Linked DNA regions of Struthio camelus. The protein of the gene in region 3 interacts with the protein of the main gene of each other region in a pairwise test. Links are inferred from orthologs where the notes say so. Each region holds a gene or a part of one and is shown on either strand. Other genes may lie near its edges.

Region 1 (7,877 bases), on a different chromosome or scaffold from region 3:
TCCCGGGAGGGCGCTGACGGGACAGGGACGGAGGCGCTCAGCGGGATGCCGCAGGTGCCCGGGCAGCTCTGGCTGCACCTCGCCGGCGGCTCCCAGCCTCCCGCGCGCTCCCGCGGGACTCGGCGGGGTTGAAAGCCGGAGGAGGACAGAGGTAAGGGGGTCTCCGGCGCCCGAGAGGGGCCCGACGACCCGGGGCCGGCTGGCGGCAGCGGCGGGGCGAGCCGGGAGGGGGCTCAGCGGCGTTATCCCCCGCCGGAGCGTCTGCGAGGCCGGAGGGGCACCCGGACGGCGCCGGAGCCGGCGGGAGCCCCCTCGGGCCCGTGCAGGCTCCTCTGCGGGCGCCGGCCCCGGGCCGGGCGCTGCCGCCGGATCCTCCTCCCCGTCCCCGAGCAACGGCCCGTCAGGCGAGTCTTTCTTGAGCCCTGGCTGCTCCTGTTCGTCTGGCGGACCTGGGAAATCCCTCTTTCGCGCTTGCCGGAGCGCTGGCCTCCCCGACGTCCTGCGGCGACGGACCGCGCAGGCTAAACGCGGGCCGGGCGCAAGGGATTTCCTTTCGTCGCTGGGCGGGAAGCGTGTTCAGCAGCTTTCATTTTCACTGCCTGTCCCCCCGTGACGGAGAGCGGCCGGGCAGGGCAGAGCCCAGCTGCCGTCCTCCTCCTCCTCCTCCTGCTGCTGCCGCCGCCGGGGATTTCACAAAAACGGGACCGGGCGCAGGAGTGCGATCCCCCCCCGGCGGGGCCGCAGCAGCCTGGGCACAACCTGCTACGAGACGCCGGAGAGTCCGCACAGCCCCGCGGCAGCCTCGAGGGCCGCCTGCCCGGCGCCGCGCTCCGCTGGCTCCCGGCTGCAGCGGTGCCGGGGCCGCGGGCTCCCCGTCGGCGCCGGGGCCTCTCGCGGGGCCGTTCGCGGGCGGCGCTGAGCGCCCCCCGCCCGGCCCAGCGCCCTCGGCCCGGCAGACGGCGGCTCCTCCGTAACGAGTGTTTTTTACTCAAGCTGTGCTTATGGGGCTGGAAAAACATCCATGGGGCTGGAAAGAGCTGAGCCCTCACTAACTCATGAAATTGGGGGGAATAATAGCGCCGGAGGTGAGGACAAGGCACAAAAGCAGTTCCTATGACAACCCCGAATCCCCAAACTGTTTATCCTCTTTAATAAAAATCTGCAATAACCGTGAAACCAGCGAACAGGATTCAATACGTACTACACGAAATGAGTAACAGCGTAAAGCACGTAACCATTTTACTTCCGCTCCGTTCCTTGCTTCCCCGTGAAAATCCTGCCCTGATAAACAGAGAGCGGAGAAGGGGCAGGTTGGCGGGGTCGCGTCGCCGTCCCTGGCCGGTGGGACGCCCGCAGGAGCCCGGCCGAGGCGATGCCGCCCGCGCTGGCGCGCAGGAGACGGGCCAGCTGGCTGCAGAGAGCCAGCAGCGGCGGTGCGGGACCAGGGACCGGCAGCAGCGGTGGTGCGGGACCAGGGAGTGGTGGCAGCGGCGGTGCGGGACCGGGGACCGGCAGCAGCGGTGGTGCGGGACCAGGGAGTGGTGGCAGCGGCAATGCGGGACCGGGGATCGGCGCAGCGGCGGTGCGGGGCCGGGGACCAGGGGCAGCAGCGGTGTGGGGCCGGGGACCGGCAGCAGCAGCGGTGCGGGGCCGGGGACCGGCGGCAGCGGCGGTGCGGGACCGGGGACCACCGGCGGCAGCAGTGCAGGGCCGCGGCCAGAGCGCGGATATCCCCGTGGGTATCGCCGGGTGCCCTGGCCCGTCTGGCACCGTGCAAACACGGAAAGGCCAACCGGGGCGGCCCTACCCCAAAAAACATGCCCCTTTCGACATGCCTATTTGGCGGCGAGGCTGTCGGCTGCCCGCTCCGGCGGTCCGGGTGCGGGAGCCGAACGGCCCCGCGGGGACCGGCGCTCGGCGGGGGGCACCTGCGGCAGGCGGCTCCCCACGAGCCAGCTGGGCGCGTTCAGCTCTCCAGCTAGCGTTTGCATCCCGAAACGTCGCCTGAATAGCGCGGTGCGATTGGGGCGGGCGCTGGCTGCGCGGCGTCCTCGGCCTCTCTGCCTCCGGTCCCTCTCCCCGCGGGAGCGCAGCCCGGATAAATCAGCAGGAGCCGGTAGAGATCCGCGTGGCTTTTCCTAGGGGCGCTCAAAGCACCCCCCGGGACCCTCCCAACCTTTCCGAAATCCCCTCAGAGCGTCTCAGCGCCCGGCCGGGGCCCTGCTTGTGCCGTCGGATGCCAGCGCTGCTGCGCGGCGGCGGCCTGGCGCGGGACATGTCCCACGTCTCCGGGGACGGGGCTTCCTGGGGAGCCCCCAGGGAAAGGGGACGAGGATGGGGACTTACGAGGATGGGGACGGGGACGGCGCCGGTGCAGCCCCGGGGGCGATCCAAAGCGCGGGCGGCGTCTCGGGTGGACGCCAGGTCTCGGGGACAGAAGCAGCCACTAAAGCGGGACCCGGCTGCATCAGCCTGCGCCGTCAGCCGGCTGCGAGGGACGAGGCTGGACTCTCCCGGCCCGTTCGTTCACCCGCTCCCCCCCGCCGCAGTGCCGATAACACCGTCCCGGAGGGAGCGGACCAAGGGTAAACGCCCGGTCCGGCTCTGCGCAGCGTTCACACCGGCCCTCCCCACGCCCGGCTTGGGGCAAAACCGCCCCGCATCGGCACCAAATCCCCGCGCCCGCTGCCCCCCGGCCGCCCCAGCCCCCCGGCCCGGCCGCGCTCCTACCTGCTCGGCCGCTTGTTTGTGCTTTCACTGCCGGCACACCCGGGCTGCTGGCTTAAAGGATTTTCCCACAATAACCACCAAATCCCTCTCCCGGGCACTAAGCCGCAGCCCTGCGCCCTTTCCCAGGTGCACAGCGCTCCCAGCCCGCCGCTCGCTGCTTTCCATATGCTTTCATCACGCTGGATTTTCCCCCTCCCGACCCAGCCCAATGCTGAAAAACGCCCTAAATCGGATTTCGTTGCCCCGTGCGGGCGAGGTGTCTCCCCGCTCTCGCTCTCAGCCGCCGGTTTTACATACGCTGCTCGCAGTCCTCGCTGGGGCGTGCGGCACGCAGCCACTGCCGGCGTCCTCGGGGCGGCCCGCGGCCAGGACGCGGCGCTGGCGGCCGCCGGCACGGGGCACTCCGGCCCGCGCTTCGCGCCAGCTGCTGACCTGCCCGGGGAACCGGTCGCCGCTCATCGAGGCCGCGGCCCAGCTTCTGCCACTGCCCCGCGGGGCTCGGGGGCTCGGCTGGGTCCGGGCTCGCGGCCGGAGCTCGGGACCGCGGCGCCGGGGCCCCCGCCCTGCTCCTGCCTTTGCAAACGTCCCCGCGCTGCGCCCGCGGCCGGGGCGCTGCATGCAGGACTCGGCGCTGCCACTGAGAAAAGAAATGTCCCCAAAGCGTGCCCAGGTGTTAAGACATGTCCCCTGCGACACGCATGCAAATGGGTTTCGTAAGCGGCTTCCCTCCCCGGCAGCGCTCTGCCCGTCGGCAGGATCTCTCTGCTCGCAGATAAACCCCCGGTACCTAGATGCACACGCAGACGCTGCACGCTGTCTTGTTTCACTTCTCTATTTTGATTTCACAGAAAAAAAAAAAGAAAAAAAAAACAGAGAAAGGAAATTGGAAGTTGGCATCTGCAAACAGCTTTCAAGGGGCGCAGGCAGCAGCGACGGGCCGAAGCGCAAGGTTTCCCGGCCCGGAAACGTGCTCAGCCCAGCGGCAGGCGCCGTGCCTGGCGGCGGGGAGGCCGAGCCGGCCAGGCGCTCCGTCCCCGGCCGCGGAGGCGCGCGGCGGCCGCGTGCTCCCAGCTTCGAGCTGCTCGGCTCCGGCAGCTGCCGCCGGCGGCGTGGGGAAGCGCCAATGCCCGGGACTCGACCGGCCGCGCGCCCGGCCGCTGGGGCGGCTTCGCAGACGCCTTATTAAAGGCGATGCATCGCCGGGGCTGAGCGCGGCGGGGCCGGAGGGGCAGCCAGCAAGGGCCCGCGGCGCCAGGACAGCGCCGAGCCGCCTGGGGCCACAAAGTGCCCCTGAAAGGGGCCGAGAGGGGCCAGCCGGGCCCCTCTGCCGCTTCTTCCTCGCGTCCCGCAGAAAAGGTCCTCGCTTCGTCCCCCGGCACGGGCCCGCGGCCGGGCGTCGCGGCTGGGGACCAGGCTTTACCGCGCAGCTAGCCGGATGCTGGCGTACTCGGTGCCGGGGGCGCCGGGGCTGCGCGCCCGCCGCGGGGCCGCCGGCAGGTGCCGCAGGTCGGCGTAGTGAACGTCGGCGTCCGGCCCGCCGGCCCGCTGCAACGGCGAGAGCCGCGCGTGGGTGAGGCCGTCGCGAGGGAACCGTGCACAAAGGAGCCCGCGGGCGCCTTCGGCAACGCGGCCGCCCCTCGGCCCGGCGGCCGCCGCCGCTGCCCCCCGAACCGCCCCGGAGCCGCCGCGTCCCCAAACCCCCTTGGCAAAGGCTCTTCCCTCGCCTTCGCCTCCCGCTCCTACCTGGCCGGGCGGAGGTGAGGTCTCGGCGTCCGGCACGCGGCTGCTGGGGGAGAAGGACTGCCGTTAGCGCTGCCAGCAGCCGCCCCCCCCGGCCCGCGGGGCTCCCGGCGGCCCCCGGCCCATCCCGGGCGCCAGCTGGCGGGTTTTACCGCCGGGCTGACGCGGACGGGAGCGACGCAGCGCAGCGACGCGCCGACGAATGCAAGCTCTTTTCCGGGGGGGGGAAAAACCCAAGTCTCCGAAGCGGGTGCAAACCTGGAGGCAGATGGAGAAGGCAGAGTTTCCTCGCGGCGGCAGGCGGCGGGTGCCAACCCGGGGCTGCCGGGGCTGCCCCCTGCCAAGCGAAGGAGAGGAGGGGTGAGCGGGGCGCGCGGCAGCCCCCAGCGCCCGGCCAGCCCGCCCGGCGCCCCGCTCACCTCCCCTCTTCCGCTGGTAGACGCACAGGGCGACGAGGAGGACGAGGAGGAGGATGGAGAGCGCCGCGGCGGCGACGGCCACGCTGGGAAACGGGGCCCTCTCTGCGGGGACACGAGCCTCAGCGGCGGGCGCCGGCACGGTGCCGGGGCGGGGGGCCGCGGGGGCGCCGACTCACCGTGCACCGACACCGTCGTGCCGGGCCCCGAGCAATAAACCTGCTCCTCCGACCCGGGCCGAAGCTTCACGCAGTAATAGGTGCCGGCGTCCTCGGGGCGGGCGTCGCTGATGTGGATGGTGAAGTCTGTGTTGGAGCCGTTCGCCGCCCTCGTGACGCGGGGGAAGGAGCTTTTCTGATCGTAAATGGTCCGGTTCTTGCCGTCCGAGGGCTTCAGCCACCTCACGGGTCCCGCTCCAGCGTGCTCCGAGACGGCGCAGCGCAGCGTGAGCGTCTGCCCCACGGACACGGACACCTCGGCCTGCGGCTGCTGCAGCTGGACGCGCGCGGCCGCCCGGGCGCCGGCACCTGCAGCGGGGCCGAGTGAGCGCCCCAGGCAGCCGCCGGCTGCCCTCGCTCGCACCGGCCCGGGCAGAGCCCCCGCAGCCGCCTGGCGCCTGCGCGGCGCTTTCGCTGAGCGCTATCAGGGACGAACTGCCCCAAGTGGGGCTGGCGGAGGGCAGGCGCAAAGCGGACGGCGGGGGGAGATCCTTCGCCCCCCCCAACCCGGGGGGCTGCTTGCCGCGAGATGCTGCAGGTGCTCCGGGTCTACAGAGGCAGACGAAGGAGCAACGCCGGGGAGGAAGAGCCAGGACGCGCCGCGAACCACCAGCGCGAGCAGGCAGCGTTTATCGGGCAGCCGGCCCCGAGCCCGCAGGCGGCCCGCAGCCTTTCCCGGCCCTCGGGATTTGGCTCTCCGTGCAGCCCGGCTCCTGCCTCCAAACCCCCCGGGCACCCCGCGCGCCCCTCGCCGCCCGGCCCCGGGCGAAACGGCAGAGATGCTGCAGCCCGGCAGCGCCGGGACGCCGGCAGAGACGTGCGCCTCCCTCGCCCCCGGGGAACGGCACGCAGCCCTGCAGCCCCCGGCAGCGAGGCTGTCCCCTGCCGCGCGATGCGTCCCTCGGGACAGAGGGCACGGAGCGGCGGGGCCGGGCGGCGGGCAGCGCCGGGGCGCTGCGCCCTACTCACCCGCCAGCGGGGCCGGGCACAGGCTGAGCAGCTGCACGAGGAGGGGAGGCACGGCGGCCGCCCGCAGAGCCATCGGCGCCACCGAAAGTTTCAGCTCCAACTTCAGGAGAAGGAAAATGAGAAGCTGCACAGGAAATGGAAGCGAGTGGGCGCGGGCGGTTAACGCTTTTGGTGCCTGCCTGGCTGCGTGCCGGACCCGGGCGCCGGGAGGCAGCGCCGGCCGGGAGCAGAGCAGGGCTTAACCCCTCAGATGCATCATCCGAGGTCGAAGCGCTTCTGCGCGCACCGCAGCCTGCCCGCACGGAGCTTGCTGCAGGGGCGGCCGGCGCCGGGAGCAGCCGCGGCCGGGGCAGGGGAGCGCCTCTGCCGGAGCCTGCAGCCGAGGCGCAGCGCGAGGAAGGCGGCCGCCTCGGGACAGGCTGCACGTTTCAGAGCTGCGCGCGAGATTTCCCGGCCTGCAGGGAGGAGCGGCAGCGAGAGGAGCCCGCGCGGCGGGCAGGCGAAGCTTGCACCACGCCGCCGTCCCCTCTGCCCAGGCCCCTCTACCCAGACACCGCGCGGGGCGGCAGGCGCCCACGGCCCCCGGCGGCGGCGGGCGCAGGGCGGCTCGCGGGGCTGCAGACCCGCCGCAGCGCCGCTTCGTGGGACGGCGGCTCTGCAGCCCCGACGGCTGGCAAGCACGCAACCTCGTGACGTGTCAAGGCGAAAACGATTTGGAAACCTTCCGGCCTTGCATGGAGGTGGCAGAGGAACTTCGCCTGCTGTCGTGACCTTCCTTCCCCATTTGCGATAAGTCCTCCCCGAGCCCCCGAGCCGGCTGAGCCGAGCCGAGCCGGTCGGGAGCGGGACGCGGGTCTTGCCATGGCTGCGGCCACGCCGGCGCTGGCTCTCGCCTGCCTGGTGCTGCTGCTGCTCTGCAGAGCCACGGGTGAGTGTCGGGCACGGGGCCACCTCGGCGCCCCGCTCTCCTGCATCCTTCCCTGGCCGCCGGCAGAACCGTCCTTCCCCTGCGCCTGACCATATTCGGGGCTCTCCCCTCACCTTCTCCCCTTGCTCCTTGCTTTTATCCCCAGTGGAAGAGTTCGCTTTATTCCCGCCTGTCCCGGGGACCCGGCACGCGCCCTGGCCCTGCAGCGCTGCCGGCGGGCGTGTGGCTGGGCCGGTGGCCGTGCGGCGCCCTGCCTGCGGGACCCTCGCAGCCCCGACCCCTCCTCTCGCTGCGCAGGTGCCCAGACAAAGGAGAACTTCCAGCTGCAGCAGCCCCAGGCGGAGGTGTCCGTGTCCCTGGGGCAGACGCTCACCCTGCACTGCACCGTGTCTGAGCTCCCTGTAGTGGGACCCGTGAAGTGGCTGAAGGATTTGGGCGGCAGGGAAGAGCTCATTTATGAGCAGAAAGGCTCCTTCCCCCGCGTAACGAGGGCAGTGAATGAATCCAGCACAAACTTCACCATCCACATCAGTGACATCCAAGTCAAGGATGCCGGGACCTATTACTGTGTGAAGTTTAAGAAAGGAGACGGGCAGAATGAGCGGTATGCGTCGGGACGGGGCACGAAGGTGTTTGTGCGTGGTGAGTGGAGCCCTCGGCCGTGCCGCGACCCCCCAGAGCAGCTCCCGGCCGGGAAGCAGCCCCGCCGGGCGCAGCCGCCCTCCGTCACCGTGGGCTCTGGTCCCGGGACGGGCAGGGCTGGGCGGAGGGCCCTGCGTCCCCTCCCCTGCCCGGCCGCGTTCCCCGCCGCCGGCAGGAGCGAGCAGGCGCCCCGGGTGAACCGGGGGTCCCTCCTGGAGAGCTGCCTGGCAGCCG
Region 2 (7,549 bases), on a different chromosome or scaffold from region 3:
TTAACCTTCTTCCTTGATTGCAGATACACCCAACTGGACATGGACTGTGATGACCCCCGTTCTGAAATCGATGTCCAGCAGATCGTGGAGCAACACACTGACAAGCAGCAGAGTGACCAGCTGCATGCATTTTAGGTCTATGCAGTTGTTGGGTTGCACGCATCTTCAGAGATTTTGAACTTAAAAAGGAAATAAAAGAAAACATACTGTGTGTAAGACCCTGTTAATTGTAAAGAAGCGGCATCATTTCTATGGATTAACCTATAACAAAGCTATACAATCACATAGAGAAACTGACAGCTACCCAACGTTACAACACATTTAACATCTCTCTTGTCACGCATTATTCACTAACTTTATTTCTGGAATCGTAAGGCCATTTCCCCATGAACGGCAGTAAGTCAGATTTCAGAGCAGTCATGTCACAGACAGTTCCTTTCTCCTTTAAAGTTGAAATGAGAAAGAACTAAAATGCATTTGTGCTTCCCCTCCCATGTACTTATATACAGTAAAAATTAAGGCTTTTACAGAAAATAATAAGACTTAAATGTGTTTTTCTGCCTTTTTTTATTCTTGAACAAATCAAGCCGTTTTGTCTACTGCTGAAAAACTCTCTTGAGGACTACAGAACTGAGGTGAGGATTTCTCAATGATCACTTTAATAGGAAAGCCACTTACACATGCAGTCTGTTTACAAGGAGATCTTCCCTAGTTTTGCTTATACTTGCATCAGTTATGTTTTTTCTTTAAGAAAAAAATTACTAAAAATCCCTTCCTGTCTTCATATAGCCATCATTAAAAAGCAAAATTAAGTACATTTTTCCATTATGCAGTTTATTTTGAAGCCTAGCTCTAATTTGAAAAATAACATTTGAAAAATGTTTTTACAAATTCTAAGTATTTTGCCTCAACAATTTTCTGAAAACAAGCATGATAAAAAAAAAAACTAACCAGATAAAACCTGTTGAACCAGTTGTATTGAAGCTTCTTTCTCAAAACAAATACTGTCACCACCCTGAAAATTTGCACATTAGAACCACAAAAACATTCTTGAACTCCTTAACACTCAACAGAAGAGACAGTCTGAAATCTCATCCCAATAATCACCTGAGGAGAGCTAGGAAAAATATATGGCTGCAGCCAGGAAAAATCTTGGTCCACAGTTATTGGAATAATCCACACTAATAGGTCTCAGGAGTTCAGCTGAACACCAATTCAAAGCATTCACAATAAATTAGAAAAAAAATTCCAATATTAGTTAAAATCTCATAGAAGAAAAAATAGTACTCTTGGCTCATTCCAGCAGGCTGCAAGAAGCTAAAACAAACCTAACGAAAGAAAACAAGACCTGTAGTTTGCCACAGAGATAAATTCTTGTTCCCCTATAAAATATCATTTTGATTATTTTCTGAAAGAGAAGGGCCACATCTGGCAGACAAGAGAATTCTGTGCATGTCAAGATGTGCAGCTGAGGCAATTGCGTGCACTTTTGAAGAAAAGAGTTTCAGACACTTTTTAAATTATGCAAAATTGCTTCCAGTACATTTCTTGCGCATTTCTATTAGACCCAGTTCCCTTCAAAACCTTCTACTCTATTCCAAAGGTAAACTTAGTCTGATCATGCACACAGCTGCAACATCACAGAAAACAGTAAAAATCAAGCATGGGTGGAACATGTAGAAGTTTGTATTAACAAAAGTCCAGGGCATGTGAATATGTAATGATTTTTCAATAAACATAATTTATAATAGATTATTCCTAAATATCAAGAACCGTATGTGAGAGCTATTACATATATGCAGTGACGGCAACCCATGCGCTTGAGAATTTATGTGAAGTAGCCAAGAAAAATAAGGGTTGAAGAAGGATCATTTCCCTTTTTTAAGTCAGGAAATAAAAACATGTGAAAGATAAGAGAATTGCTTAATATCACAGAGGAAATTTGTGCCTGGGCAAGCAATTGTATCCAAGTATCTTATGACCCAGTCTAATACCTGAAGCTCAAGAACTTCACTTTTGTATTTTAGCGTTATGGTAACATAAACCACAAAGGTAATTCCCCCCCGCCAAGAGGTACATTTTCTGATTAAGAGTCTTCCATGGAAATTAATTAAAAAAAAAAATCTTAATTTGTTTCTGTGCCATGGAACGCATAAGTTGTCATAATGAAAATAATACGCCCGAGTCCTTTAACAAAGCAGCATCTTACTACTGCTTACCTGCTCTTGCACTTCTCCATGTTGCCTACAATTCCCAGCCTGCAGTAAACAAGCGCACTCTCTGCACAGGAAGGTTGTATGTTATCTTGGGACAAAGCATAAATTATTTCTTGTTATTTCTGATGTGATCAAATCCCATCTATGCTAATTTCACTCTGCAGCTCTTAAAAACGACCTGAATTCCCCTCACCCACCCTGCGCGCAGAGTATAGGGCAGATGTTCAGCATGAGCAGCGTCCCCCTGCACGCCCAGGCCCTGCGGGCTCCAACGGCCCTGTGCCGGCAGACCCTACCGGCCACGGACAGCGGCAACGAGCTGAACGCTAAGACCACAGCAGCGCCTAGCTAAGCAGGGCCGTGACTGGAAAAGGGCTGTAAACTGGCCAAGAGGCCCTAAGCTACGTACCCGCTGTTTCCAAACCATCGAGGTGTGGGAAACCTGCTACCTACGCTAACTGATTCCTTTCGTACCTCCTCGCGTCGCTGTTGTTTACAGACGCTACCCCCTCCCTCCGCAAGCACGCGAGGACGAAGAAAACGAAACCCTCAACACCACCCAGGGCCAGCCCAAACCCCGCGGACGGCGGGAAAACCGGCTGCGGCTGACGCAGCACCCCAGCGGCCCCCCAGGGAAGGAGCTGCCCCCCCCGCTCCCTCCTCCCGCCCTCCGCACCCCCTCACGCTCCCCCCCGCCCCCCGGCTGCCGCCGCCGCCGCCTCACCACAGCGCGGGCAGCAGCAGCAGCAGCGGCGGCGGCGCCTCAGCGCGGCGCGCGCCGCCCGCGCGCAGGGAGAGGGGGCGGGGCGGGGGCGGGGCGAGCGCGCAGCGGCCCCCAGCAGGCGGGAGGGGCGGCGGCCGCCCCGGGCTCCCGGCCCCGGTTCGCCGGTGGCCCGGGTTTTCTGTGGGAGCGGCTGTGCTCCCTCGCAAGGCGCGAAGCAGGAGGATCGGGGCGTTTATGGAAGCTAAAGCAAGGCGAGAGGCCCTTCAGGGCCCCCCGCGGCGCTCGTCTCGGGAGCGTACGCGTTACGGCGTCAAGTTTCCAGCAGTCGCAGCGCTGCCCTATTCGTGCTACAGCACTTAGGTCTGTCAGCTACGGAAAGACTGAGAAATGTTTGGTTTTGTTTCGTTCCACAGGTGACCGCACATATAATCTTTACTACTGACGTTTCAGGCAATTGGCAAACAGACGGACAAACCCCCCGCCCGTTCTTCAGCAGCGCTGCATGTGCTCCCCGTGCAGCTCCGTCCAAGGAGTTTGGGGCATGAGGGGCCTTAGGGCCCCCGCCCCGCTCCTCGCTCACGACCTGCCGGCAGCCCCCGCCCCGGCTGCCCCGCTCCCTCCCGCGTTTCCCCGCCTGCTCTCCTGCCGGCACGCCAGCTTGCACCGAGCGGAGGTGGCAGCCCGATAAAGTGCGTTTTAAAAAAAAAAAAAACCTTCTGAAGGGCTGTGCAGCGTGTAGGCCACGGCCTGGCTCGTTTTTTTTTTAACGTACACTTCACTGTTTTAAAGGGTAAACCGCCAAACCCATGCAAAAAGGGCTACGAATGGAGGCGGGCGGTATGTGTAGTCCTTTCCGGCTCGTCCCTTCACCGTCTATGCACGCGCGCTCCTTCAGAAAACAGCCCGTCGAGGCCGTTTCGCCGGGCGCCCCCCCGGCGAAGCCCGCACGGACCGAAAACGAAGGCGCCTCGGCTCCTCCGAGCGCGGGAGCCGCCCTGCGCCCGCAGGCACGGCGCCGGGAAGAGGAGCGACCCGGGGCGGCCGGGCGGGCCGCGCCGCTGTCAAGCGCGATCGCCGCGGCCGGGGCCGAGGCCCAGGCCGGTCCCGCCCGCCCCGGGCGCATGGCGCCCCCCTCCCCCCCGTCCCGCCGCCTCCTCCCCCGCGGGGCTGCCCGCGGCGCGCGCCTGAGGCCCCCCCGCGCTGCCCGCCTCTCTCCTCACCCGCCGCCGCCGCGCTGGCCGCCACAGACGGCGGCGGGGCGGCCGCCTCCCCCCCCGCCCCGCGGCGCCCCGCCAGGCCGGCGGCGGCGTTGCGCTCCCCGCCGCCGCCGCCCGCCCTTTCCAGTCAGGCGCGGCGCGGGGAGCCCCGGCGCGCGCCCGCCGCCGCGCCTGCGCGCGGGCCATTAAAGGGGTGCGGGGCGGGCAGCGGAAGGCCCCGGTTACGGCGGCTGAGGAGAGCCAGAGTCGGGCGAATAGGGAGAGGGCGCGCGAGCGAGCGAGGAGCCGCGGAGGGGCCGGAGCCGCGCGAGCGGAGGCGGCGGCGGGCGGCGGCGCCGGCCCGGGGCAGGTGGTGGTGGGGGAAGGGAGCGGGTTGGGAGCGGGGCGCCGCCGCGGGCAGCGCCGGGCGGCGGAGCGGAGCCGGCGGCCGGGAGCAGGAAGCGCCGCGGGCGGCGGCGGTGAGGCCTGGAGCGGAGCGGAGCGCCGCCGGGAGACCCGCCGCCGGCGCGGTGAGTAGCGGCCGCGGCGCAGGTGGGGATCCGCTGAGTCACCTGCCCCGGCGCCCCCGCCCCCTCAGCGGGGCGCGGGGGCCCTCGGCGCCCCGGCACGGGCCTGGGCCGGGCCGCGCCGCGCTGCCCGGCCGCCCCCGCGCTGGGGCTCTCGGTGCCGCCGCCCCCGGAGCCGCGGGCAGCGGCCGGCTGGCGCCGCTCAGCCGAGGGGGGGAAGCGACAAGTAGGAAAAACGTGCTGTTGTGGCTGGCGGTGGTGGTTGTTAGGCGTCACATCTGGAGGATGGTTTGGGGGGCTGAAAGGAAAATGCACCCCTTTCCCCCCTTCCCCCCCCCCCAGAAACGCGTGTCTTAAAATTTGATGCCTTGATTTTGTTTTTTTTATTAGGTCCATGGCCAAAGGCTTTGAAGTAGCCATGGATAAAAGAGGAGGTGTAACGGAAACTGAAAATGGGGATGCTTTCCTTGAGTTGAACAGAATTACAACGAAATACCCACATCGTTACACAAAAGTAAGCTTCTCTTCCCCCCCCCCCAAAAAAAAAAAAAAAAGAAAAAAAGGTGCCTGAAGCTGTTGCTCACAGAAGTAGAGTTGGAGGCAGAGGTTTCCCTGACTTGGAAAGTCCAAGTCAGACTTGACTGACTGGTCGGTTTTGAGAGGCCTTTGTTTGGGTTGAGATTCTCAAGGTGGCATGAGACAAGCAACTTGTTTAATCTGAAGCGACTGTGTAATCTTGACTGTCCTTCATATATACTTTTGGTTCCCATCACCTTATTATATCTGTGCACCTCATAGCGTGCGCTGGGGATGACATGGTAGAGCCTGAAGTATGTTGTTCTACCAGCTTTCTCAAGCACTTGCACTTCATTGTTTTAGTTCTACTTTCAGCAATGTTTCTTTAAGAACACGACCAAAATGTTTACTTGTCGTATGATGCTACTTTCTTGGGATAGGTAGTATGCCAGATCACACTGGCACTTTATTTCTGTTTGGATGTTTTCTTAGAACAGGTCTTGTTTGGGAGTTAGAAGCTTAGCACTTATGCATCCAACCACTCTTTAATGTTAAAACTTTAACACAGGTGCCCTTGCTCAGCTGTGATACCTGAATGTATGAGTGGAAGAACCTCGTTAAATAATGTGCAAATAAACTTACCTAGTGTTAAAAAAAATCTTTGATAAACCATGAGGTTTTTAAGGTTCAAATTCTGTTTTGGATCTTGGTGCTGTGCTGAAAGATGACTTTTTTTTTTTCCTTAGAACAAAAGCCTTTATGAAGGTGGTTGATATTTTCATTGTTGAAAGCTGTGGAAACAGGTGGTCATGGCTTTGCAGAAATCTATTAAGATATTTTGCAACAAAGGGCTTGAAGTGAGGAAGAGAGAATGAGACAGTGTACTGTTGCTGACTGTATTATCTTGCCTGAGGAATTCTGAACTGTTAGTTTCCTAGTAGGTTGTTTTAAAAAAAACTATCATTGTGTCTCTGTTCCACTGAGATAGTGGAACTAGCTTACTTTCACCAGACATCAACAATGGCCTGAGTATTTCAAAACTGCAAAACTTATATGGGAATAGTATGGCTTCTCTAATTCTTTTCTTAGAAAAGATGTTCTCTTAACTTTCCAAGATGCAAACTATAGTATTGTTCAGAACTTGTTATTCAGTTACCCCTAAAGCAAGGGGGGGGTGGTGGCTTTATCTCTGAACGTTCCCTGTTCCTAAAAGCTATATCTGTTCTCAGTTGATCTCACTCAGCTCTTCTCAAGAAGAATAACTGAATGCAACTTGAGATTCTGGTGGCTGTTTTGAGCAGTATTCGGGCAGCACTGATGGTAGTTGTACAATGAAATTGGTGCAGTTGTAGCTGCAGCTGTTAACTCTGTACCCCTAATTCTGCTCAGAATAAAGTGACTGAATTATTGCCAGAAGGCAGCTAGTCTTGTTTATCTATCTGCTTCCACAGAGCTTGGAGTGAAGAAACATATATAAAAAAATAAATCCATGTTAAAATGTCCACATAGTAATATTGCTATTTTTTTTTTACAATTAACATGCCTTAAATGCAGCTGATTTAAGATGCTCATGGGATTAATATTAAAAGCTGTTTTCACATGATCCAACTCCCTATGGGGCGGGGGAAAGAAATAGTACTTCAGGAGATATACTGATTTGGAGGAGGGCCTGTTTTCCTTTGACAATTTATATTCACTTTCTACTGGTGGGAGAACGACTGGTTCACACTATGAATCCTCAAACTGCTTGAATAATACTTCCTAATAACAGCTAAACACACCTTTCCCCTTACCTGCTTGAAAGTACTGCTGGGTGAATCAAAAAAAACTGTGAAAGTGCTAACACTAATCTCCTCTATTATGAGGAAATGTGTTATATTCTCAAAGCTGTGTCTTTCCTAGTTCTTTAAAAGCTGTTACTCCAGCTAACAAGTGAAAGCTTAAAAAAAAACAATTCAAATCTTCCTCACTTCAATGGAAGACTTGCAATAGAATTTGATTGGAAGTCTAGGGACTCCCTCTCGTGGCCAGCAAAATAGTAAATATGAAATCTGATGGTGGACAATGCCATTAATACTTCTGATATCTACATCCAGACTATGATAGTATTACAGTACTAATGTTTCTCACAGGTCATAATTTATTTTGGGAGGCTGTGGGTGCAGGCCAGTCTGCCTCCCTTTAAAGCTCTGCTCTCCAGGCTGTCTGGTCTTGCTAGGAAAATATAACTCTTTATGGTGAAGGCTAATACAAGTTAATGCTGGGAGCTCCCTGCTGTCTGGGACTCCCTTCTCTGGTGCAAGCCCTTTCCAAGCAGCAGCTCTTCTTTTCGAGAAAGATGATGAAACACCAGTGCAGGATAGAGAATGG
Region 3 (7,967 bases):
AGAAAATATTTATGCAAGTATTTTACATCAAGATTAAAAAAGCTATTCCTTTCTTGGTAAGAAGAAAGTCACACTAGTATTTTTCCTTTCAGCTTCAAGTTAGTATGCAGATCTGTGGCTTGTTCTTTTGCTTATGGCCCAGAATAAGTTGGGGGTCCTTGCTCATATCATGCTTGTTATTTAAAAAAAAAAAAACCAACACCACCACCACCAACCAAAACAACAATATAATTCAGTTTTCCCAAATAATATAATGAGCACTGTTTTAACATGCGCATTATTAAAAAAGCAGAAAAAGCCCGACTTCCTCTACAGATCAGTTAATACCCAGATAATATGAAGACACTGGTCACCATCCTTTGTTACACATACGCTTGCAGCATGAGCAAGCATGTGCGTTGTTCAGGCCGGTAACTTGTGATGTACAGTGTTGCAGCTCCAGCAGCGAAATAACACTATAATGGTTGGAGCATAAGTGGGGACAGGAGATTGATAGTAGGTGTTGGCATGGAACATCACCTACAACTATAGACAGCACAGAAATACTGCATGGTTTTTCTTGGGAGTTTTGAGAGACAGATGGATGAATGGGGAAAGCTGGCAAACCTTTCAGAAAGGCGGACACAGATCCTGCAGAACTGGAAAACTGTCTCTGATAAAACAAAGGAGGCCAAACTGGGAGAGTGAAAGTGACTGCACGGTGTGAGGGGGAGGAGAGGAGGTCATGGAAGGCACTGGTAAATACGGTAATGATTTTGTAGGGGATGGGCATTTGCAGCAGCCTTTGGAAATGGATGTTTAACTAAAATGGCTGGCACGTAGGCAGTTGAGACACAAGAAATGCACTCTTGTGTCAGATCAGTGGCCCATCAAGATGGCTTGTAGGAAGTACCCAAGAATGAACTGTAAATAAATGAGATGATAGATGAGAATTTAAGATATATGAATTAGTGTTTAGAGCACCAGGAAATAGTTAGAATCAGGCTGGGTAGGCAGATGCCTGTGATACATCCTTGTAAAGGGTAGTTGTTTTGCAGTAGAGGGCTATCAGCAGGATCTGGAGGATATTGAAGTAAATTGATTTTTGGAAGGGTCATTTCCTGCATGATTTCAGTGAAGATGGTTAGTCCTAGAATTCTTCACTCAAAAAATGAAGATAATAAATCTTTTGTCTCGCTTGTTTACATTTTAATATCTTTGGGCAAATACAGGAGGTTTAGGAGGTTTAAGACTCCTATTACCATAGTATCAAGCATCCTACACTTTTCAGTGTGTCCATACTCTCAATACCCTATGAAGAGAGCAGTATTATTCTCTAAATTCCATGGATAAGAAACTGAACGTGGATCTCTACATTGATCAACTTGGACACTCTTCCTCTTGTGACTGTACAACAACCCAGTAGGATTTCAATCTGAACTGGGATCCCTATATGGAAGTGCAAGACCTTGTTTTCTGTTTGATAACCACTACTTATTACTAGCCTAAGAATTCAAGGTTGGATAGATTTCTAGCACATCTGCCCTAGTTAAATTAATTCAAGGGAAGTCCTCTAGCTATACAGGAGGTCAGCCTACATAATCACAAACGTCCCTCCTACCCACACCGCTGGCCCTAAAGTACTGCTACATGGCAAATAAAGGTACTGGCTAAACATCAGCATTAGATTTTTCTTATTTCTTGGGGCTGCTTTTTATAATGTAAATGCTCTCCTTGTATATATACTGTACCATTGCACCAAATCCGCCATCCATAATGCTAACAATCAATCACCTAATATTTCCTCCTAAGGGTATTGTATCCTGTGTTGGTTTACAAGGGAATAAGGAGATGATATCAAGAGCATGAAAGCACACAGGTTTAACCACATTTGCCCTTTGTTTCACATATTGCAAAAGCAAGAGCCCGTTTATGATAGACTCTGGAATAAATACTGGCAATTCTGTCATGTCTGCTGTATGGACTGAATCTGAGCTACAGCCAGTTAAATGTGATCCTTCTCTGACAAGGCTAAGCTAGCAAGAGCAGAAAGAAAAAAATGAACTTTAGTAATGGTTACACAGAACCCTCCTTTTGGCAGGCTATGACCTCAATAGTGAGCACCGGAAGTGAAATTATATGAAAAAGTTTTGTTTCTGCTAATCAACCATGAGTCCAGCTCTTCCAACCCTAACCCAAGCTTGCACAACCTCTCACACAGGAACTTACCCATTACTTCCTTATTAGCGCTTAAGGAGGTTTAGGCAGTCCAGCCGAGCCAAGTAACGGGCTTCTCGCTCCACGGCTCCACGAATCGCGTCTTCTCTGCTGTATTTAAAGAGACAGGGTTCATTTAGTTCTGGTTAATGCTTTTTTAATTCTTACGTATTGCCATGAACTACTGATGGATTAAACCAGATGAGTAAGATTGATGTAGAAGTATGCCTATTTAGTCCAATTTTAACAGGGTGGTGTTCGAGGGCCTGATGGGTTGTTTTCTGGTGATTTTTAGCCGTGCACGCTAATGGACATTTATGATGAAAAGAAGAGTAAATGGATGTTATTGTTTCCCCATAAGCCTATTTTTCTGGAAGGCTGGAAGTAGGCCAAGCCCCCCACAGCTACCAGTCTGCCCCTCACATCACAGTAGAAAATGGTTTTAAAGATTCCTACTGCTAGGGCACACAAAGTGTGATCAGCCCCATAGGCGAGGTGGAACGAAACACGGCTTGACCTGCTCTGCTAGGCGGGGAAGCGGCACAAGACCCGCCAGGGCGGAGGGCGTTTCTCCCCGTCCCGAGCAGACCGGGCTCCGCGGAGCGCCTGCTGCGGGCGCTGCTGTAGCCTCGGCGCCGCCCAGGCCGCCGCGCGCGAGCCCCGTCGCGGCCGCGCTGGCAGACGCCGAGCTCCGCCAGACACGGTCGCCCGCGCCGCCTCCGGGAAGCGCGCTAGGCTGCCTCCGCCTGCAATTACGGTAAGAGCCCCACCCATCCGCCAGTCACGTCCTCCACGTCTCAGTGCGGCGGCCGCCCGGGCGCGCGCCCCGCCGGGGTGGCTCGCGCCGCCGCGCGCTCTGCCCGGAGGCTGGCAGCTCAGCGAAGGGCGGCGCTGGAGGGTGCTGGGGCCGCCCTCCGGTCCGGGTTTGCACCAGCTACGGTGGCATCGCGTGCTGAGGCGGTTTCGTGCTCACCGGGAGAAATTCCGTGAAGCTTTGACGTTTTTTTCCGGATAGAACAAGTGTGCTGCCAGATAGCTTTTGATGCCAGTTCCTACAGAGAGCCACTTGCCGTTGAGATGGTTGGGATGTAGTTTTATTGTATGGGTCCAGCACGGGAAGTCTGTAGAGATTACCATCAGAAGATCTTTGCTATAGATTCAGTAAAGGAGACTGTCCTCGCCTGCGTGCAGGAAAAGCCACAGCAGTGGACGGCAAGAAATGGCTTATTTCTTCCATTTCTAGGGCTGAAGGTTCCAGTCCTGCACGGTATAAGTGGTCTGGAGAAACTGCTGCCTGGTATTTTTCAACGAAACATGCTCATGTCGCAGTACTTATTTTATGTTGCCACTAGATGGCTCATTATAAAAGAATAACAAGTGAAATTTACTCTTCCACCAATATTTCAAACATTCACTCCAGCTGAAGTGTTCTGTCTCCCTCCCATTTTGGCACAATGGGCGTGATCAAACCCCATTTCCCCTAGATTCTTGCAGTTTTATGTTTCTTATTCCTGTTAGTCATAGAATTGAGCTGAGACACTTGAATCAACGTTTTCCTGTTCTCAATATTACAGAACTACGAGTGTCATGAATGTATTACACTTAGTGCACGTACTCTGTGTTATCTGGTTGTTGCTTGTAAAAAACAATCCTTTTTGAAGAATACAAACTCGTTACTTTGGCTTGGGTTTTATTTCACTCAGAATGATTCTAACAATGTTTTGATTTAAAAAGTGTTATTTATTAGGGGTTTACACTAGCAGACCTTTAATACACATTATATTGTCATCTGGTGGGTGGAGAGTGGAAGAGCAAGTAGGTAGCAGAACAGCTTGCTAGATGGATTGATTGTAAAGCTATTGAACAGCTATTGAACAGTATGCTGATGTCCCAGGAACTTCACTTGTCCAGGTACACCAAGTTTTCAATGAACTTCTGTATTTAATATTTTACTTCCTTCTTTGACATATTACAAACGCCTTTTTGCTCTTTGTCTGGATGGAGAAAATGCATAACTGCATATTAACCAAGTTGTCTCTCCACCTCTTTTTTTTTGATAAGCTAGTTGGATGTTTCCTCCCTGGAAGATTCTTTATTTCCCGAAAGACTATTTTTTTCTGTATTTCAGATAGAAATTCAGTCCTGGATTTTCAAACGTAAGCAGGAAAGGCAAAATGAAATAAATGTCCACAATAGTAGAATTCAGTAGAGGTTTAGGGGTTTTTAGCATTGAAGGCTGAAGTGCCTAAATAAATACATAGCAAAACATTCAGTGAGTATAAAGGAGAGGAGATTTTTTTGGAGAATTCGAGGAAAGTGAATTTAATATTACCAACCAAAAATCATTATCACAGACTGCTGTATGAATGTGCATCATACAGAAGTTACTGGGAAAACAGTTTTGAAGAGGGGACGGATCCCAATGTGAGGAGAGCTTGCAGACGTGAGGTCTGCATCTTAAGACATGTTTAGAGGTCCAAAACTAGTGACTAGGTCCAAACTCGTGACTGCCCAGTCTGACAAACTAAGAGCATGTTCTTATGGCAGTCAGCAAATGAACCAGACACCTAGAATCATGGCACTGATTTTAGGATGCTTAGTTTTATTGTTTTCTGTTTCACTCCATGTTTAACCACTTTGGAGTCTAATTGCATGGAGTTCAGACATACTGTTACCTGCTTATATTTGCAGAAAACAAGAGGTGCAGCCAGTAGTATGAGGCTTATTGTCCTTCTTGAACAGCCCAGGGGCACAGATCAGCTATAGTCGTGGCCAGGTTTACATCTGGGTCTTCTATATGAAGTTGTTTCTTCCAAGAAGCAGCAGTGCTGGTCTAGATGTCATAGTAAGTACATTCATTCAGGCCTATTAACAATCATGCAGTCAGTGCTCAATTGTCTAGACAGCGAGTCTGCATCAACAATATTGTGTCATATATAGTCTGATTCAGAAATAGATCTGTTAAGAACTACATAATTCCAGTGCATCGCTATCACTATATTGGCCTATGCTTTTCAAAGCAGAAGCATTCTTTACTGAGGGACATCTCTGATGTGCAACTGTGCTTGCACTCTTCTTCCAGGTAGCATTACAGTGGAACCATGACCCAGTGGGAACAGTCATTTGCATTTCTAAACAAGTGATTAAATTTTACATAAGCAAGATTAATATATAATTTGTTTGATGCTTCACTTTATATTTTCAAGGCTTCTATAATAAGCATATCCTATAGAAACCTAATTATATATGCAAAAGTAGAGAATGCATCAAATATACATTTGACAGGAGAAACTGGACATTAAACAAATGCCACTAGGTATTAGAAAACTGCTACTGCTATTTGTCAGCAATTAGTCCGCTTTGCTCCCAGCTACCTGTTCTACTCATACCTATTTTACTCGTTTATAAACCACTTCCTGTTTCAAAAGATTGGTAGCCCTTATGCCTCCTCCAGGGTTTTTTTTTTTTGAGAGTCTTTCTTACTTTTTTGCTACAAGCTCAACCTTTTAACTCTCCTTTATGCCAAGCAGAAGAGGTTTTCCTATGACCCTTGCCCGGTACCTAGGAAGCATTTTGTAGGCTGTGATCACACGGTACTAACATGTAACTACAAGTCCCAGAATATCTACCTGAAGGGCAGAAGTAAGCCATGGGCCTAACTTCAAGGCAGCCGCTCACCCTGGAACACGTGTATGAAAAGTTGTTTTGGAAAAACTGCTTTTAAGGTTATACTTCAGAGGAAGCTTCGTGTCTGAGAAGCCCCTTATTTTCTGAGTTACTAGCTAGCTTCTTTTTTTGATATACTTGTCAACTGGAACACTATATGTTTATAAGTAGACTTATCTGAAAGTGCATTACACACTGAAATGTCATTTTTAAATGAGGTTTTTTTGAATCAAGGATGCTATTGGATTTTTTTGGCCATTTGCCGATGTGTTCATCTAGCACAGATGCTGTATGCATTGAGAAGGGGTTGTAATTGTGTCTAGATTTGTGATGCCCAGTATCTCCCTGCTATCTCCACATAAATGCACACTTTATCTGCCTTTTCCACTGTCTTTTTCTCAGCCTCTCTCTCTCTTTTAAAACAGCAGCATTACTGCATAGTACATAAACGCTGGTGCAAGAAAAGGTTTTTATTAGGGAGATTTAAAAAGGAGTTTGTGGCTGCATATGGAAGATGTGAAGAAAAAGATTCAGCAAATGTAATACTGGGAAATTACATTGATAAAGTAATAATACCACCAATGGAAAGTATTGCTTCAGGCAGTCTGAGATACTGAAAAGAAATTGCTGCAGTTATTAACTCTTTCTTCCACAAAACTTTCCCATGAAGTTTTTCATTACAGTTTAGCTTAGGTATTTATTTGATGCATGGAAATTGATAGCTCATCAGAAGCTGTAAGGTGTCTCAAGATAGCTATGCATTAGGGCTGTACTGCTGTCCTCAGTAAGGAACAAAAAGCCCGAGTGCTATGTCCACTGTTGCAGAAAACACTTGTGATAGACCAGCAGTTTGCATCCAGGTCTCCTAAGTGAATAATTCAGTAGCTTCACATAGCGAGGCCTTGTAACAAAACCCGCCCAGACCCTAATGCGGTAATTGCTACGCTTTTATGAAAGCCAAATCCATCCCTAAACAGCTGCAATGGCTTCAGTTTTCTGTGAAATGGTGGTTTGGTTGAAATCCAATCAGTTTTGACTTTGAGAAAGCTATGAGAGGACATTCACTTACAATTCTACTGTATGGGTCTCATTTCTATGTAACTTTGCAGGTTTTAACTTGACAAAACTCTGACAAGGAATAGTTAAAAGTAGCCCTGTGTCTTCAATATTGGTATTTAAAGCAGTCACATATCTTGTTTGTAACTTTAATTGTAGTACAACTTCTACCTTGGGGTAATTCGGGTAAGATTACTGTCCCAATGTCTATAGCCCATAACCGTGTGGTGTTTTTTTTTTTATGTCTTAGGGAACACTTTTGAGTTTCATCATGGGAGCTGTAGTAGCTGATGATGGTCCATCTGGTGTTAAAGCCCCTGATGGAGGCTGGGGCTGGGCTGTCCTTTTGGGCTGTTTTATCATCACAGGATTCTCCTATGCCTTTCCTAAGGCAGTTAGTGTATTCTTCAAAGAACTTATCCGGGAATTTGGCGTTGGATATAGTGACACTGCATGGATTTCCTCCATTCTGCTGGCCATGCTTTATGGGACAGGTAGGTAGTCACCCGTTTTTGAAACAGTATTGCATGTAAATCATACAGACATTTATATCGGGAATCATCATTGCATTATCACTACTGAGGCAAAAATTAAGGCATTCCAAAGAACAACTATTGTGGATCACGTCAATCCAGAAATCTAAGCGCATCCACCTTGCGTATAAAAATTAAATCCCTGTAACTAAGTAGGTACGAAAGATGATTAAAAAAGAAAATGTGCGTGGCATTCTGAAGAGGAAAACAACTAACTGTATGACTAAACCCTCCCAGGTTGGCCCGACAATGTGGGCAAAGTAAGGAAAGAATTGCAAACACAAAAATAAATTGCAAAAATTGGTTTATCGCAGTAACTGTAACTCGTTCTTCTTGTTCAGGTCCACTCTGCAGTGTATGTGTCAATCGCTTTGGCTGTCGCCCTGTCATGCTGGTGGGTGGCCTTTTTGCATCAATGGGGATGGTCATCGCCTCCTTCTGCACGAGCATTGTTCAGATCTATCTAACTGCAGGTGTGATTACTGGTAAGTAGAGCGCATGGTTGAAAAGGAGCTG

Evidence for each region.
Region 1: the proteins of CCDC57 (region 3) and tyrosine-protein phosphatase non-receptor type substrate 1-like interact in a two-hybrid assay, tested with the Homo sapiens proteins (2 studies listed by BioGRID). The two-hybrid records come from large-scale screens. The link is inferred for Struthio camelus from reciprocal best matches to the Homo sapiens genes CCDC57 and SIRPA.
Region 2: the proteins of CCDC57 (region 3) and SFI1 interact in a two-hybrid assay, tested with the Homo sapiens proteins (2 studies listed by BioGRID). The two-hybrid records come from large-scale screens. The link is inferred for Struthio camelus from reciprocal best matches to the Homo sapiens genes CCDC57 and SFI1.

Annotation. Positions count from the first base shown.
Region 1 is NC_090959.1:18,179,328-18,187,204, forward strand, and holds the start of tyrosine-protein phosphatase non-receptor type substrate 1-like, read right to left. Parts: upstream 3,074-7,877; 5' UTR 3,028-3,073; intron 1-3,027. Other genes in the region: signal-regulatory protein beta-1-like, read left to right, coding at 6,935-7,001, 7,299-7,643. UniProt on the Homo sapiens protein: Immunoglobulin-like cell surface receptor for CD47. Acts as docking protein and induces translocation of PTPN6, PTPN11 and other binding partners from the cytosol to the plasma membrane.
Region 2 is NC_090958.1:8,296,726-8,304,274, reverse strand, and holds the start of SFI1 (protein SFI1 homolog), read right to left. Parts: upstream 3,020-7,549; 5' UTR 2,941-3,019; intron 2,754-2,940; exon of another isoform or gene 2,691-2,753; intron 2,305-2,690; 5' UTR 2,240-2,304; coding exon 2,220-2,239; intron 180-2,219; coding exon 1-179. Other genes in the region: EIF4ENIF1 (eukaryotic translation initiation factor 4E transporter), read left to right, coding at 5,058-5,177. UniProt on the Homo sapiens protein: Plays a role in the dynamic structure of centrosome-associated contractile fibers via its interaction with CETN2.
Region 3 is NC_090960.1:98,408-106,374, reverse strand, and holds the start of CCDC57 (coiled-coil domain-containing protein 57), read right to left. Parts: upstream 3,052-7,967; 5' UTR 2,967-3,051; intron 2,912-2,966; exon of another isoform or gene 2,714-2,911; intron 2,705-2,713; exon of another isoform or gene 2,308-2,704; 5' UTR 2,209-2,307; intron 1-2,208. Other genes in the region: SLC16A3 (monocarboxylate transporter 4), read left to right, coding at 4,994-5,041, 7,169-7,412, 7,793-7,936. UniProt on the Homo sapiens protein: Pleiotropic regulator of centriole duplication, mitosis, and ciliogenesis. Critical interface between centrosome and microtubule-mediated cellular processes. Centriole duplication protein required for recruitment of CEP63, CEP152, and PLK4 to the centrosome.